Linked DNA regions of Canis lupus familiaris. The protein of the gene in region 1 purifies or fractionates together with the protein of each later gene. This does not show direct contact. Links are inferred from orthologs where the notes say so. Each region holds a gene or a part of one and is shown in the gene's direction. Other genes may lie near its edges.

Region 1 (4,155 bases):
CTTTTTATACTTAATTACATATCTTTAATTTCTCAAGAAATACTGATTTTAAAATTTCTTCTAATAGTTTTCAAAATGGAATTTTGCTTTGCTTTCTTCTTCCCTCAAATCCATAACGTACCTACCTCCAAGTATCATAGGACGGAAGCACACATGACGCTGCTAGCCTCCCGCCTGGGACGGGCTAAGGACTCCATTCAGTTCACAAGACCCTGTTACTGTTACTTTACAAAAGGCTTCCCCGGGCACCCCTTGGATGCCGCCCCGGGGGGAGGGGATTCATAGCATATACTCCAAGTTTTAGGGACCCAGAGGACAGCCAGCTACATTAGCAACTACGAGGGTAGAGGAGACAGTGAAACCACACCGGGAGAAGAATGGAAGGAGAGGGAGACAGATGGTGCGTGTGTTGGGGGAAGGGATCAGAGATCCAGGAAAACTTCTGTTCCCTGAATCGCAAGAATGTTTCCATTTAACCACTTCTTGTCTGGCTCCTGATTCTACATAAAAGAGAAGCGGGGAGTTTTAGGGTTTGGGGCCACCTGCACCAAGAGCCTAGGCGCGAGGTGGAGAGCCGGGAGCGCGGGGAAGCAGCGGCGAGCGGGTCTTGCTCGGGCCACCCGGGCCCCCGCGCGCGTCCGGGGCCCAGGTAAGGGGCGGTGCCCCCTCCCGGCTACCGGGGCTGCGGGCGGTCCGGACAGTCCCACGAGGGGGCGCGTCTCGGGTCCTAGGATCCGCCCTCGCAGCGCCGGGCGCGGGGAGGGGACCCGGGAGCCCAGGCGCCCGGCGCTCCGCCTCCCGTTTCCGGGGCAGCGCGGTTACCTGCACGGCCCGAGCCGCACCTGGCGGAGGCCGGAGTCGCCGAGCGGGCGCAGAGCGGCGCGGCGCAGAGCGGCGGAGAGGGCTCGGGCGCCCGGCCAGGGGGCGGCGGCGGCGGCGGGGAGCAGGCGGCGGGGAGCAGGCGGGGAGCAGGCGGCGGGGAGCAGGCGGCGGGGAGCAGGCGGCGGCGCTCGGCTCGCTCTGCCCCGCCGGCCGGGCGCGTCCCCGGGCCCGCACCGCGCCGCGGCGGGCGCACATGGCAGCGTGAGAGGCCGGCGGCGGGAGCGCGGGAGCCCGGGAGCGGCGGGCCGGAGCCGCAGGGCCGCATGGACCGCGGCGCCGCCCGGGCCGGCCCCCACTAGGGCCCCCAGTCCGCGGGCGCCAGCCTCCCCCCCCATCATGGTGCCTCGGCGGCCGCCCGGGCTGGGCACGGCCGGCCGGAGCCGCTGAGCCGGGGCCCCCGCGGCGGCCGGGAGCTGCATGGGGGAGCGCGGGCCGCGCTCGGGAAGATGCCCCGGCCGGAGCTGCCCCTGCCGGAGGGCTGGGAGGAGGCGCGCGACTTCGACGGCAAGGTCTACTACATAGACCACACGAGCCGCACCACCAGCTGGATCGACCCGCGGGACAGGTAGGGCCCCGGGGAGCCCCACACCGCGCGCTCCGCCCGGGCCCCCTCTTGCCCCAGGGGCCACCCGCGGGGACCGGGCAGGGGCCGCCGGGGAACTCTGCGAGCCGCTTGCGCTTTCTTCAGTTGGCCGCCCCCCCGCCGCCCTCGCCCCCCCCCCCCGCCCCCGTCCCCATCCACGTCCCCATCCCCATCGCCCGCCGTCTGGAGCGCTGCTCCCGCCGGGGTGGGCTGCTGGAGGGGGGCGCGGCCAGGGGCCCGGGCGGCCCCCGCCGCCGTCCCCGATGGAGGACTTAGGCCCCAGCCGGCACCTGCCCAGAGTTTTGACCTTAAGCTCTAGCCCCGCCTCCCCCGCCCCCTTTAGGACGAGGTCGGGCGGGGGCTGGGGCAGCAGCCTAGCGGAGCGTTTCTGGGGCTTCCCGGAGAGGCTTTCCCCAGTGTGTGTGTGTGTGGGGCCGGGGGGAGATGGGGAAGCATCTGGTTTGGAGGGGGTAGTAGGGACCCAGGATTCAGTGGGAAACTGCTGGAAGGACACTAGGCGGAGGGGAAGGCAGCCTGGAGTGTGGTCTTTGACAGGTGCCTGGGAGGCTCGGGGAAGAGCACGGGAGCAGCCAGGGGGCCTGGAGGCCGGGAGTGGGAAGGAAAGGAAGAGGGCGGGGGAGGGCTGATCGGAAGACTGGTTCTCCAGGAATCTTAGAGCAACTTGGAAGCTGTTAGGATATAGATGGAGGTGAGAGGCCTCCCACAAAGCCCTGCCCATCACCTCGTTCTCCACCCTTTCTTCCTCTGGGGACCGAGACTCCTCAGTCCTGCACCAGCGCGTCCTGACCTTGGTGGGCACCAAGCGACTGTAGCACGGATTCTATTTTATTTTTTCTGTGGCAGGTGGAGTCTGAGGTGACTGCTCAGAGCTTCCAGACTTTCTCCCGGTTTTGATTGCTTGTCATTTCTTTGCACACACCCTCCCCATGTAGGGGTGGGGGGAAGAAGGGGAGGAAGAGGACCACCCTCTGAGATTGCTTTGTTGTCCTTGTTGGCTTGGTCTGTGGTCAGTGTCTTAGGAATGTGGAATGTTCACCTGGTCTGTGCGACCTTGAGTGTCAGGTGCCTGTAACGCAATAGAGGTGAATTTTTTGGATCTTTCGACCTGTAGGGTTGGGATGCAGGTCCCAGAAGTCCAAGATGGGGTGTGTAGCAAGGTGTGGGTTTTAAAAAAAGGCAGAAAGAAAATTTGAATTGAGATGCCCCGTAATTTCTGTGAGCGCTCTAAGTTCACTCATTTAACATTTCTTGGGTGCTTGCTTTATTCTCAGTACCACGCTGGATGCCTCTTTGATATAATTTAGAAGAGAAATTTAAAAAGGAAAAGTTCTCTGCCCATTGTGGGGCTTGAACTCAACCACTCTGAGATCAAGATTCGGGTGCTCTACCAACTGAGTCAGTCTGGTGGCATTGGAAGATAAATTTTTAATGCTAGAGAAAGCATCCCATGAGCAAGCTGCTTTAACCTCTGAGCCTCAGGTTCCCCGTTGGTCAGATTAATGGTTTGTTTGGAAGAGAAGTAATCGTAGAACTCTGAAAGTTGGAAGGGACATAGATGATCAGAGCCCAGCTCTTATTTTCAAACATAAGAGAAAATTTGAGGTCCAGAGGTGTGACTTACTTGAATATCTTCATCTTTCCACCACTCACCATATGCCAGATTCTTTACCATCTCTGAAGTTCTAACCTCCAGATTTGTCCTGACTCACTTCTCTTCCCTGCCCCACTCAGGGTCATCTGTCCCAGGGACGCTGTTACGTGTTGGAGAACTGGGCAGCCCCTTGTTCTCTTCCAGAAGAGACATAAGTTCAGTCTTCTGTTTCCTGCCTGGTTTTGGTCCTTGCAACTTACTGAGGCCAGTGTGCTGTCAGCAGTTGCATGTCAGAGGACTAGGACAGCCCCACACCCAGCGTTGCTAACTCACCCTCGGTTGTGAATCTAGGGACTTCTCTGGGGCTCTGAGAGGAATACAGCTCTAGAAAGCTTCTCAAACAACAGGTAATTTTCTACCCCTGGAAAAGGACAAGTGGAAAATTGACTTGGCTAGAGTATTATTTTTCAAATTTTAGTACCATATGAACCACCATAATGATTTTCTGCTATATTGACTTGTACCATTGCTTACTTAATATTTGACTTTAAATCAACTAAACGTGAAAATTTTTTTAAAGATTTTATTTATTTGAGAAAGAGAAAGGGAGAGAATGAGTGGGGAGAGGGGCAGAGGGAGAGAGAGAAGCAGGCTCCCCTTTGAGCAGGGAGCACACCATGCGGCTCAATCCCCGGACCCTGGGATCATAACCTGAGCCAAAGGCAGATGCTTAACTGACTGAACCACCCAGGTGCCCCTCAGTATGAAAAATTTTTAACCACTTTCACAAATGGGAAACTAGTATTATCTGTTGTCATAAATAGAAAGGATCTTCAAAAAAAAAAAAAAAAAAACAGTGGAGGGAAAAAAAACCAACAACCCAGTGCCATTATATTTTAGCTCTGTACGGTAGCTTGCCCATACCCAGCAACAGGTATGCCCAGCCTTTGTTTTTTAGGCAGATTGACAAGTATTGGAGAGGAATTAAGAACATAGTGGCATTTAACTGAGCCTCTCACTTTCTTCACCTTGCAAATAATTGGTTTTAATGCATCTTTGTACCTTCTGGTCATCCCTC
Region 2 (4,217 bases), on another chromosome or scaffold:
GGGGGATTTCTTTTTTTTTTTTTTCCCCTTCCCTTCCCTTCCCTTCCCGCCCCCGTCCAGGTCCGGGTCCCGGTCCCCGCCCCCACCCCGCCCCCGCCGGGAGCGGCGCTAGGCAGTGCCGGCCGCGGGCGCTTGTCCTCCTCCGCTCCCGCGTCCCGGGCTCCCGGGAGTGTCACCCGTCCTCCCTCCCCAGCCGTCACCTTTCAACAGTTTCCCCAAAGCCACCGCACCGCCGGCGCGCGGCTGCTCCCGGGCCTGCACGGGGAGCTCCTGCCGCCCGGCATTCCTCGGATTCCAGCGCCGTGACGTCCCCGCGGCCGGCGCGCCTGCAGCCCGGGAGCCCCGGCTCCGAGTTTCGGCGCTGCCCCGCGCCCCACGCCCGGCGCCCCGCGCCCCCCGCGCCCACCGCCCGGCGCCCCGCGCCCCGCCGCGCGCGCGCCTCCCGGGCGCATTCCTGCCCGCGCTCCCCCCCCCGCGCCCCGCCCCCGCCTCCGCCGCCCCGCCCGGCCCGGCCCGGGGTGGAGGGTGGGGGGCGGGGGGAGCCGCGGCCGCCGGCGCCTGCTCCGTCCCCTCCCACCGCACGGCCCCTTCCTCCCTCCCCTGCCGGCCGCTCGCATTTCCTGCCGCCCGGGCTCCCGCGGCCCCGGAAAGTTCTGCCCAACTTTTTCTCCGCCGGACGAGCGGGCGCCGCGGGGCGCGGGCCGGGGCAGGTTGCCGCGCTCGCCCTCGCTCGGCCCGGCGGGGTCCCCGGGGAGCAGCCGAGTCCCGGGCGGCGGCGGGCGGCCCTCCCCGCCCACCTCACCCCTGCTCCCGGGCCCCCCGCCCACCTCACCCCTGCTCCCGGGACCCCCCCCGCCCACCTCACCCCTCCTCCCGGGACCCCCCCCGCCCACCTCACCCCTCCTCCCGGGACCCCCCCGCCCACCTCACCCCTCCTCCCGGGACCCCCCCGCCCACCTCACCCCTCCTCCCGGGACCCCCCCCCGCCCACCTCACCCCTGCTCCCGGTCCCCCCCGCCCACCTCACCCCTGCTCCCGGTCCCCCCGCCCACCTCACCCCTCCTCCCGGTCCCCCCGCCCACCTCACCCCTCTTCCCGGCCCCCCGCCCACCTCACCCCTCCTCCCGGCCCCCCGCCCCCTCCCCGGGACTACCCCGGGCTTAGGTGGCTCTCCTCCTCTCCGGGTCGGTGCGCGGGGATCGCAGCGGAAACCTCCCTCCCCTTTCGCCTGCTCCGGCCCCGGCCCCGGCCCCGGCTCCTTCCCCCGCCCTCCTCCGCGGCCACTGGAATCAATTCCTTAGGGAATTGGGGCGCCGCCGCCGCCGCCGCCGCCGCGGGGACAGGCTTTCCGCGCGGGACCCCGGGTCACGACGGGGCCATGTGAGCAGGTAGGCGCCGTCTGCGGCGGGGGAGCCTCCTCGGGCCCCGGGCGCCTGGCCGAGGACCGGGGCAGCCTGGACCGGCGCCGGGAGGCTGGCGGGGCAGCGGGGGCGCGGGGCGGCCGGGCCGCGGGGCCCTGGGTGCTCGCCCTGTCGGGGGTGGAGGTGGCCGCGGGGCGCTGCCTGCGGGTCCGCCGCCGCGCCACCCCCTCGCCCCCTCCTCCCGGCTCCCTCCGGCTGTTTGGGAAGCGAGCGCGGGCCTGGAAAGGGCAGCGGGACGGAGCCGAGCGCTGAGGGCAGAGGGAAGGGAGGAGGACGAGGTTGCTGTGGCTCCAGCGGGACGGGGACGCGGCTCCCCGACGCCCCAGTTCCCAGCGCCTCCTGGGGAGGGGGTCGGGATCCTGGGAGCGAGGGGAGTTTTTAATGCCCTCCCACTAGGCCCCGGCCGTGCCCCCGGACTCCTGGCCTCCTTGGGTGGTCGGTCGGGCTGGCTCGTGGGGAAAGCCTGTGGCCACATAACTTCGCAACAGATCCGCACCTCAAACTTTTCAAAGTTCTGAGTATTCACAAGTTCTGAGGGGGCTGTTAGTACGCCTCTCTGTTCTCCCTGGCGTGATCCCTAAACCTGAGTGTTTGAATACTTGTTAAGTGGATTTTACACCTTGGGGAGGGAGTAGTCTCAGGTACTGGTGCCATCTCCTTAGCATCCCCTTCCGCTTCCTTTGGTTCCTGTCACCCCCCCCCCCCAACCCCAACCCCAACCCCAACCCCAACCCCAACCCCACCTACAAATCAAGGAGATTGTGGGGTTTGCGCTTCAGTCCGTCCTGGAACTGGGTGTTGCAGGCTCTTTGTGAAGATGTGCGGAATCTCTAGACTGCAGGCCGAATATAGGGTCGCAGGGTTTCCACCAATGTGTTAATTTCTTAAACTGGATCAGTTCACCCATTCATTCAGCAAACCTGGTGTTGCGCCTCTACTCTGCTCGGAAAACAGGATGCTGAGATACTTAAACAAGCTGTAACTGCAGCCTCCTGGAGGAAACCCACAGGCTGATGAAGAATTACAGTAGTGAGCGAGCGAGAAGTGCTGGAAGAGGCAGGGAAGGCTTGGTTTTGGAGACGAGGGGTACCGTGTGCCCTGGGTTTATAGGGTTAAGGGAGTGTTTACCTTGCAGGAGTGATCCGGAGAGTGCATTCCAGGTGGAAGAAACAGCTTGTGCAAAATGAAGAGTCATCCAAAAAAAAAAAAAAAAAAAAAGAGTTCAAAAAGCTAGCTATCTGACCCAGCTATTTGGGATATGATAGATATCAGAAATGAAACTAGAAGCGTTTTATCCCCTTACGGTAACCAAGTAGTTTCCAGAGGCGCCTAAGTCTCTCTCTTCGGACACACCTCCTTGTCTGATGCAGTTTCTACAAGCAGCAATTGTGTGACCATCTAAATTTTAATTGGCACTAATTGGCCCATGCCTGTTTTCATTAGAATGGCACTTGATTCCCTTTTAAAGAGCCACTTGACAGCAGTGGGTGATAATACTGCAGCATCACAGAACCTTGCATTAAAGTTGCTTATCTTTTGGGGTTGGGGTTAAAAGCTCCTGTGCTGGAAATGAGTGGGAGCTGCACAGCATGACACTCTTTTTGCCTGATCTGAATGGGTGGCCACAGATGCGCAGAATGAGCCCATGGACGGGTGTCCCTGTGTTTGTCATAGTTTTCTCTACATGTAAATGTCATCAAATGTTGCTTTAGCACACTTGTAAGGATACTTTTCCTTCCTCTGAAACTTTATAAAATCGAATTCTGTTCCATCGGGTTTTGTAGCCTGATGGTCCAGGATTGGGCAGATCTTGCCTAGGAAGGTTCCTTATCAGACGGAAGCACGCTGTACGTGGGTTGCCCTTCAGGGGTGCCTCTTCACTGGGCTGAAGTGGAGTCCTAGTAGTATTCACCGTGGCTGAGGTCCAGCCTCGGTGAACTCAGGCCAGTACATCGGAGGAGCAGAAAAAGAACAACTTGGGGGTGTTTGGCTAAGCCCCTCCACAAACACTTTCTCTTATCTCAAGAACAGCCCCTTGACAGGAGTTTTATTGGAGGTATAGGGCCTGCGTGAGAGACATGGCTGAAGGGAAGCTCTTTCTTGCTAATCCTGGTGCTCGCCCGGCTTCCATCATTGGCTTAGACACAGTTATTATTCACACTTTAGTTATTCAGCTTTGTGCACACTGTGTGGGCCGGACAGCTGTAATGGAAAGAGAACAGTTAGACTATTTTAATATGGAAGAACCTAAAGAATTTCGGAAAAAAATCAGAATTTTTTAGGAGAATTGGTATTTGTCCTGAATGACTGGGCCAGGGGTCAAAAACTATGAGGAGTTTTTTTTTTTTTCCTAATGCCCTCCCTCCTTATTAAGGGTTTATGTGTTTTTTTTTTGTTTTTTTTTTTTTTTTTTTTTTTTGCTCCAGGGAAGCAAACATAAACCCTTTGATTGCACAGTGAACCCCTCCTGGATTCCATATTCTTATTCTTTTTCACCTGCTATGCTGCATTTGAACTTCTAGACTTCGTCACCAATGGTCGTGTAGAATCTGAACTCATTCTGAGCCTCAGAGCTATGCTGTGCACTTCGTTAAAGAGAGAAGGCAAGGGAAAGAGATAAGATGAAATAGTTCATTAGCCAATTAAATCATTACTTGCTTGAGCTGATTAAAAAAGAACGAGAGAAACCAAGTTTTGGTACAGAGAGGATTAAAAATAATGTTAGAAATAAGACTTTGGGATCTCCCCTCACTGACTTAATTTACCTTCCCCTGTCAAAGCCCCATGGAGTGGTTC
Region 3 (3,642 bases), on another chromosome or scaffold:
TTCCCATTTAAGCTCCTCCTAGCCAAACAACAACAGCAAAAACCAAAAACCAAAAAACCTCAATGACTATTCCTGGATGGCTGAAAGAGAAACTTTGTCAATAGTAATTATCTCAAGCCCTTCTCTTATTAAGCCAAGGCGAATCCAAAATGGACAATACAGAAAGGATTTTTTTTTAAAGCTATGTTTCAGAGTTTTATGAGATCAGAGAAAACGAGTTGCATCAAGCTGGGATCATTTCTATATGGTGCAAGCGAAGCTCTCGTCACCTTGTATTTATTTTAGTTATTATTTGGCATTTTGTAGCTCCCTCCACATGATGACCTGCTTTACAGATCCTGCCTATACATTCTCCCTACTGGCCTGCCCCAAGTCCCACGGCCCATAAGAGTTGGACCTTTTATTTAAATAGAATACAGAGAGATGAACTTTCTGAGTAAGGACCTAGGAAAATTGCCCTCTCTGGTCACCCTCCCCGACTGCTCCAGGTCTCCCCAGTTCTCGTAGAAGTTAAGTCAAGATTGGATATTTAACTCATGCTAAAAGCAAAAAGAGGAAACAATGAGCTCTTATGCCCCTGAGTTCCTCATCATATCAATGGTAGAGCCAGGAGTCACCAACAATTAATCCATTAATTCTAGATTCAATTCTCTACTTTGTCTCTGGAGTGGAATCCTCACCCCCAAATACCCATTTTCTTCCCCTTTAGAGGAATGATTTATCCATCAACTGGGTGTTAAGCTTCCTGTTTCCCCTTCCCAGGTCAAGGGCAGCCCAGGTGCCCAATTTCTCTCTCTCTTCACAAGGCACCACCAGCAATAGAGATGAGAAATTCTGAAGAACAGCCAAGTGGAGGAACCACAGTGTTGCAGCGTCTGCTACAAGAGCAGCTTCGCTATGGCAATCCCAATGAGAATCGCAACCTGCTTGCCATACACCAGCAAGCCACAGGGAATGGCCCTCCTTTTCCCAGTAGCAGTGGGAACCCAGGCCCTCAGAATGATGTGTTGAGTCCCCAAGACCACCACCAACAGCTTGTGGCTCATGCTGCTCGACAAGAACCTCAGGGGCAGGAAATCCAGGCAGAAAACATCATCATGGAGAAGCAGCTTTCCCCTAGAATGCAGAATAATGAAGAACTCCCAACCTATGAAGAAGCCAAGGTCCAGTCCCAATACTTTCGGGGCCAACAGCATGCCAGTGTTGGAGCTGCCTTCTATGTCACCGGAGTGACCAACCAGAAGATGAGGACTGAGGGACGCCCATCAGTTCAGCGGCTCAATCCTGGGAAGATGCACCAGGATGAAGGACTCAGAGATCTTAAGCAAGGACATGTCCGCTCCTTGAGTGAACGACTAATGCAGATGTCATTGGCCACCAGTGGAGTTAAGGCCCATCCACCTGTTACCAGCGCTCCCCTCTCCCCACCACAACCCAGTGACCTCTACAAGACTCCCACAAGTTCCAGTGAATTCTACAAGGCCCAGGGGCCACCTCCCAGCCAGCATAGCCTGAAGGGCATGGAACATCGAGGCCCCCCACCAGAGTATCCCTTCAAGGGCATGCCACCCCAGTCTGTAGTGTGCAAGCCCCAAGAGGCAGGGCACTTCTATAGTGAGCATCGTCTGAACCAGCCAGGGAGAACAGAGGGGCAACTGATGAGGTATCAGCATCCCCCTGAGTATGGAGCAGCCAGGTAAGAGAGTTCCCTTTCTGTCATTTCCTGGCCTCATCCCCAACCAGCTTCTGCTGTGTGTTGGGAATCTTAAGGGAAGAAATGGGCAGGTGTTTGGTATAAGAAACTCTGCAGTGCATGGCTGGCCCCTGGCTTAGTAAATTTCCTGCGAATCTGAATTTCTAGCCCCTTCAGCCATAATTAGTGCTGTAGTAACATTCCCCTGACTTTGTAGGTTGAGCATGGCCCCAATTGCCTAGTGGATGAACAGGAACGCAAGTCTTGGTTTCTACAGCTATATGCTGTCCTATCTCCTGGGATTGTGAAGAAAGGGTCCGTGTTCCTCTTCTTGTGAGTTGTTAAGCCCTACCTTGAGGAGCAGAAGCAAATTATCTTGAACGTTAATCTGGAATATCGTATCCCTGTCAGTTATTCCCCTCCACAGAATGCTCATCACTTCTTTTTAGGAACGAATCATTCTGCAGAATTACTATGATTCTTTCGGACACTAAACCAACACCTAGATATTACTGTGGGGGGAGCCGGATATGTGCAGGTTCAGAATGTCACTTGCCTTGGACATCCTTGCAGTTCATGAACTCTGGGCTGCTCCGTCTTTCCTCCATAGAGCATTTGTTAGTTGCCTGCCATGTTTTTGGACAACTAAATTAAACTCCCATCATGTTACATAGAACTTTGGGTCAGATTCTAAGATGCAGAGAGAATAATATCCCCATGACTTCTTTGCTACTTGTCATTGGTTCAGGAGGACAATTTCATGTTATTCACTTATTCCTAAATGTACTTCTGCAGGATTTGGAGGCCCATTGTCCCAGTGCTGTATCGACCAGACCTTACGATTCCATGATTCTGTTTGTTGTTCCTGTTGTTACTGTTGGGGCCATGTCTCTGATCGGTAGTCATTCAGCATATGGGGCAGAGGAAAGGATTCCACTGTGGCCAACAACGGTGACAGTTTTATGTGGTATTCCTGTCCTGTTACCTTGGGTAATTATGGATAACTGAGGTTTGAAGTCCCTGGACCTGGGTGGGTGGGGGTGCTTTTTCCAGATCAGGCCTGTGATCTCTCTGACATCTAACTCTTTGCCTCCTGTCTCTTCACTTATTTGGGAAAGAACCGCTTGGCTTGAAATTCATTGAGTGACTCAGGAGAGAAGGCAGTCAGGGGGTGGGAGTAAGGTGAAGGTAAGGGAATAAGGGAATGCACCTTGGAATTTCCTGGTATTTCATCACCCCCCACCTCCCCACCCTCCCCACCCCTGTCCTGTTTTACAGCCAGAAGCAATTCACTTTGGGCTCCACCCATAACTTGTCCAGTTTAGGATTTTTTTTTCCCTCTTAACCAAGGTTGATTTCCTAACCTTTTTCAACCTCTTGTGTGCAGCTTTAAAGGGCAGGAGCCTAAGTTCTGATAAGTGGCTTAGAACAGGAAATGGGGCAATGGACAGGGCACTTCCGGTTTAAATGAGAGCGAGAACCTGATTCCCATCTGCCCAATGAAGCGGAAGACCGAGGGAGGGGTTGGTCATTTGGACTGCTTAGCTTAGTGGAAACCCATTCAAGCCAGCAAAATGTCAATGAAGCTGAGGATTTTTGTTTTACTCTTCCCATCAGCATGTAAGAGTCAGTGGGACTCTGTCCTTTATGTGGATGGGCTGACGTCTGTTGCCTTGTGGGAGGGGAGTATGTTGGCTGGGGTGTGGAGCAGAATCTGAAGCCCTGCTTAGCACAAGGCCCGCCTTCCCAGGAAAGCTATTTTCAGAACTCATTCACCAGTATTGTCTGTAATCTGAAATGACTCCCACAGTGTTTGAAGCTAGATGGAAAAGCCCTTTGATCTGCCTAAATAAATAATAAGGAGCCCACAGAGGGATTTTTTTTCTTGCCATACTGATTAAACCACCAGAGAAATTTAGCTGCATATAATTTACAGGAAGATACTTATA

The links.
Region 2: the proteins of WWC1 (region 1) and PTPN14 purify together in Homo sapiens (affinity purification with mass spectrometry; 7 studies listed by BioGRID and IntAct, counting the BioPlex papers as one, with this or other methods). This does not show direct contact. The link is inferred for Canis lupus familiaris from reciprocal best matches to the Homo sapiens genes WWC1 and PTPN14.
Region 3: the proteins of WWC1 (region 1) and AMOT purify together in Homo sapiens (affinity purification with mass spectrometry; 3 studies listed by BioGRID and IntAct, with this or other methods). This does not show direct contact. The link is inferred for Canis lupus familiaris from reciprocal best matches to the Homo sapiens genes WWC1 and AMOT.

The regions. Positions count from the first base shown.
Region 1 is NC_049225.1:44,320,744-44,324,898, reverse strand, and holds the start of WWC1 (protein KIBRA), read left to right. Parts: upstream 1-1,266; 5' UTR 1,267-1,328; coding exon 1,329-1,447; intron 1,448-4,155. UniProt on the Homo sapiens protein: Regulator of the Hippo signaling pathway, also known as the Salvador-Warts-Hippo (SWH) pathway.
Region 2 is NC_049228.1:12,374,902-12,379,118, reverse strand, and holds the start of PTPN14 (tyrosine-protein phosphatase non-receptor type 14), read left to right. Parts: upstream 1-1,295; 5' UTR 1,296-1,388; intron 1,389-4,217. UniProt on the Homo sapiens protein: Protein tyrosine phosphatase which may play a role in the regulation of lymphangiogenesis, cell-cell adhesion, cell-matrix adhesion, cell migration, cell growth and also regulates TGF-beta gene expression, thereby modulating epithelial-mesenchymal transition.
Region 3 is NC_049260.1:86,453,516-86,457,157, reverse strand, and holds part of AMOT (angiomotin), read left to right. Parts: intron 1-762; 5' UTR 763-824; coding exon 825-1,696; intron 1,697-3,642.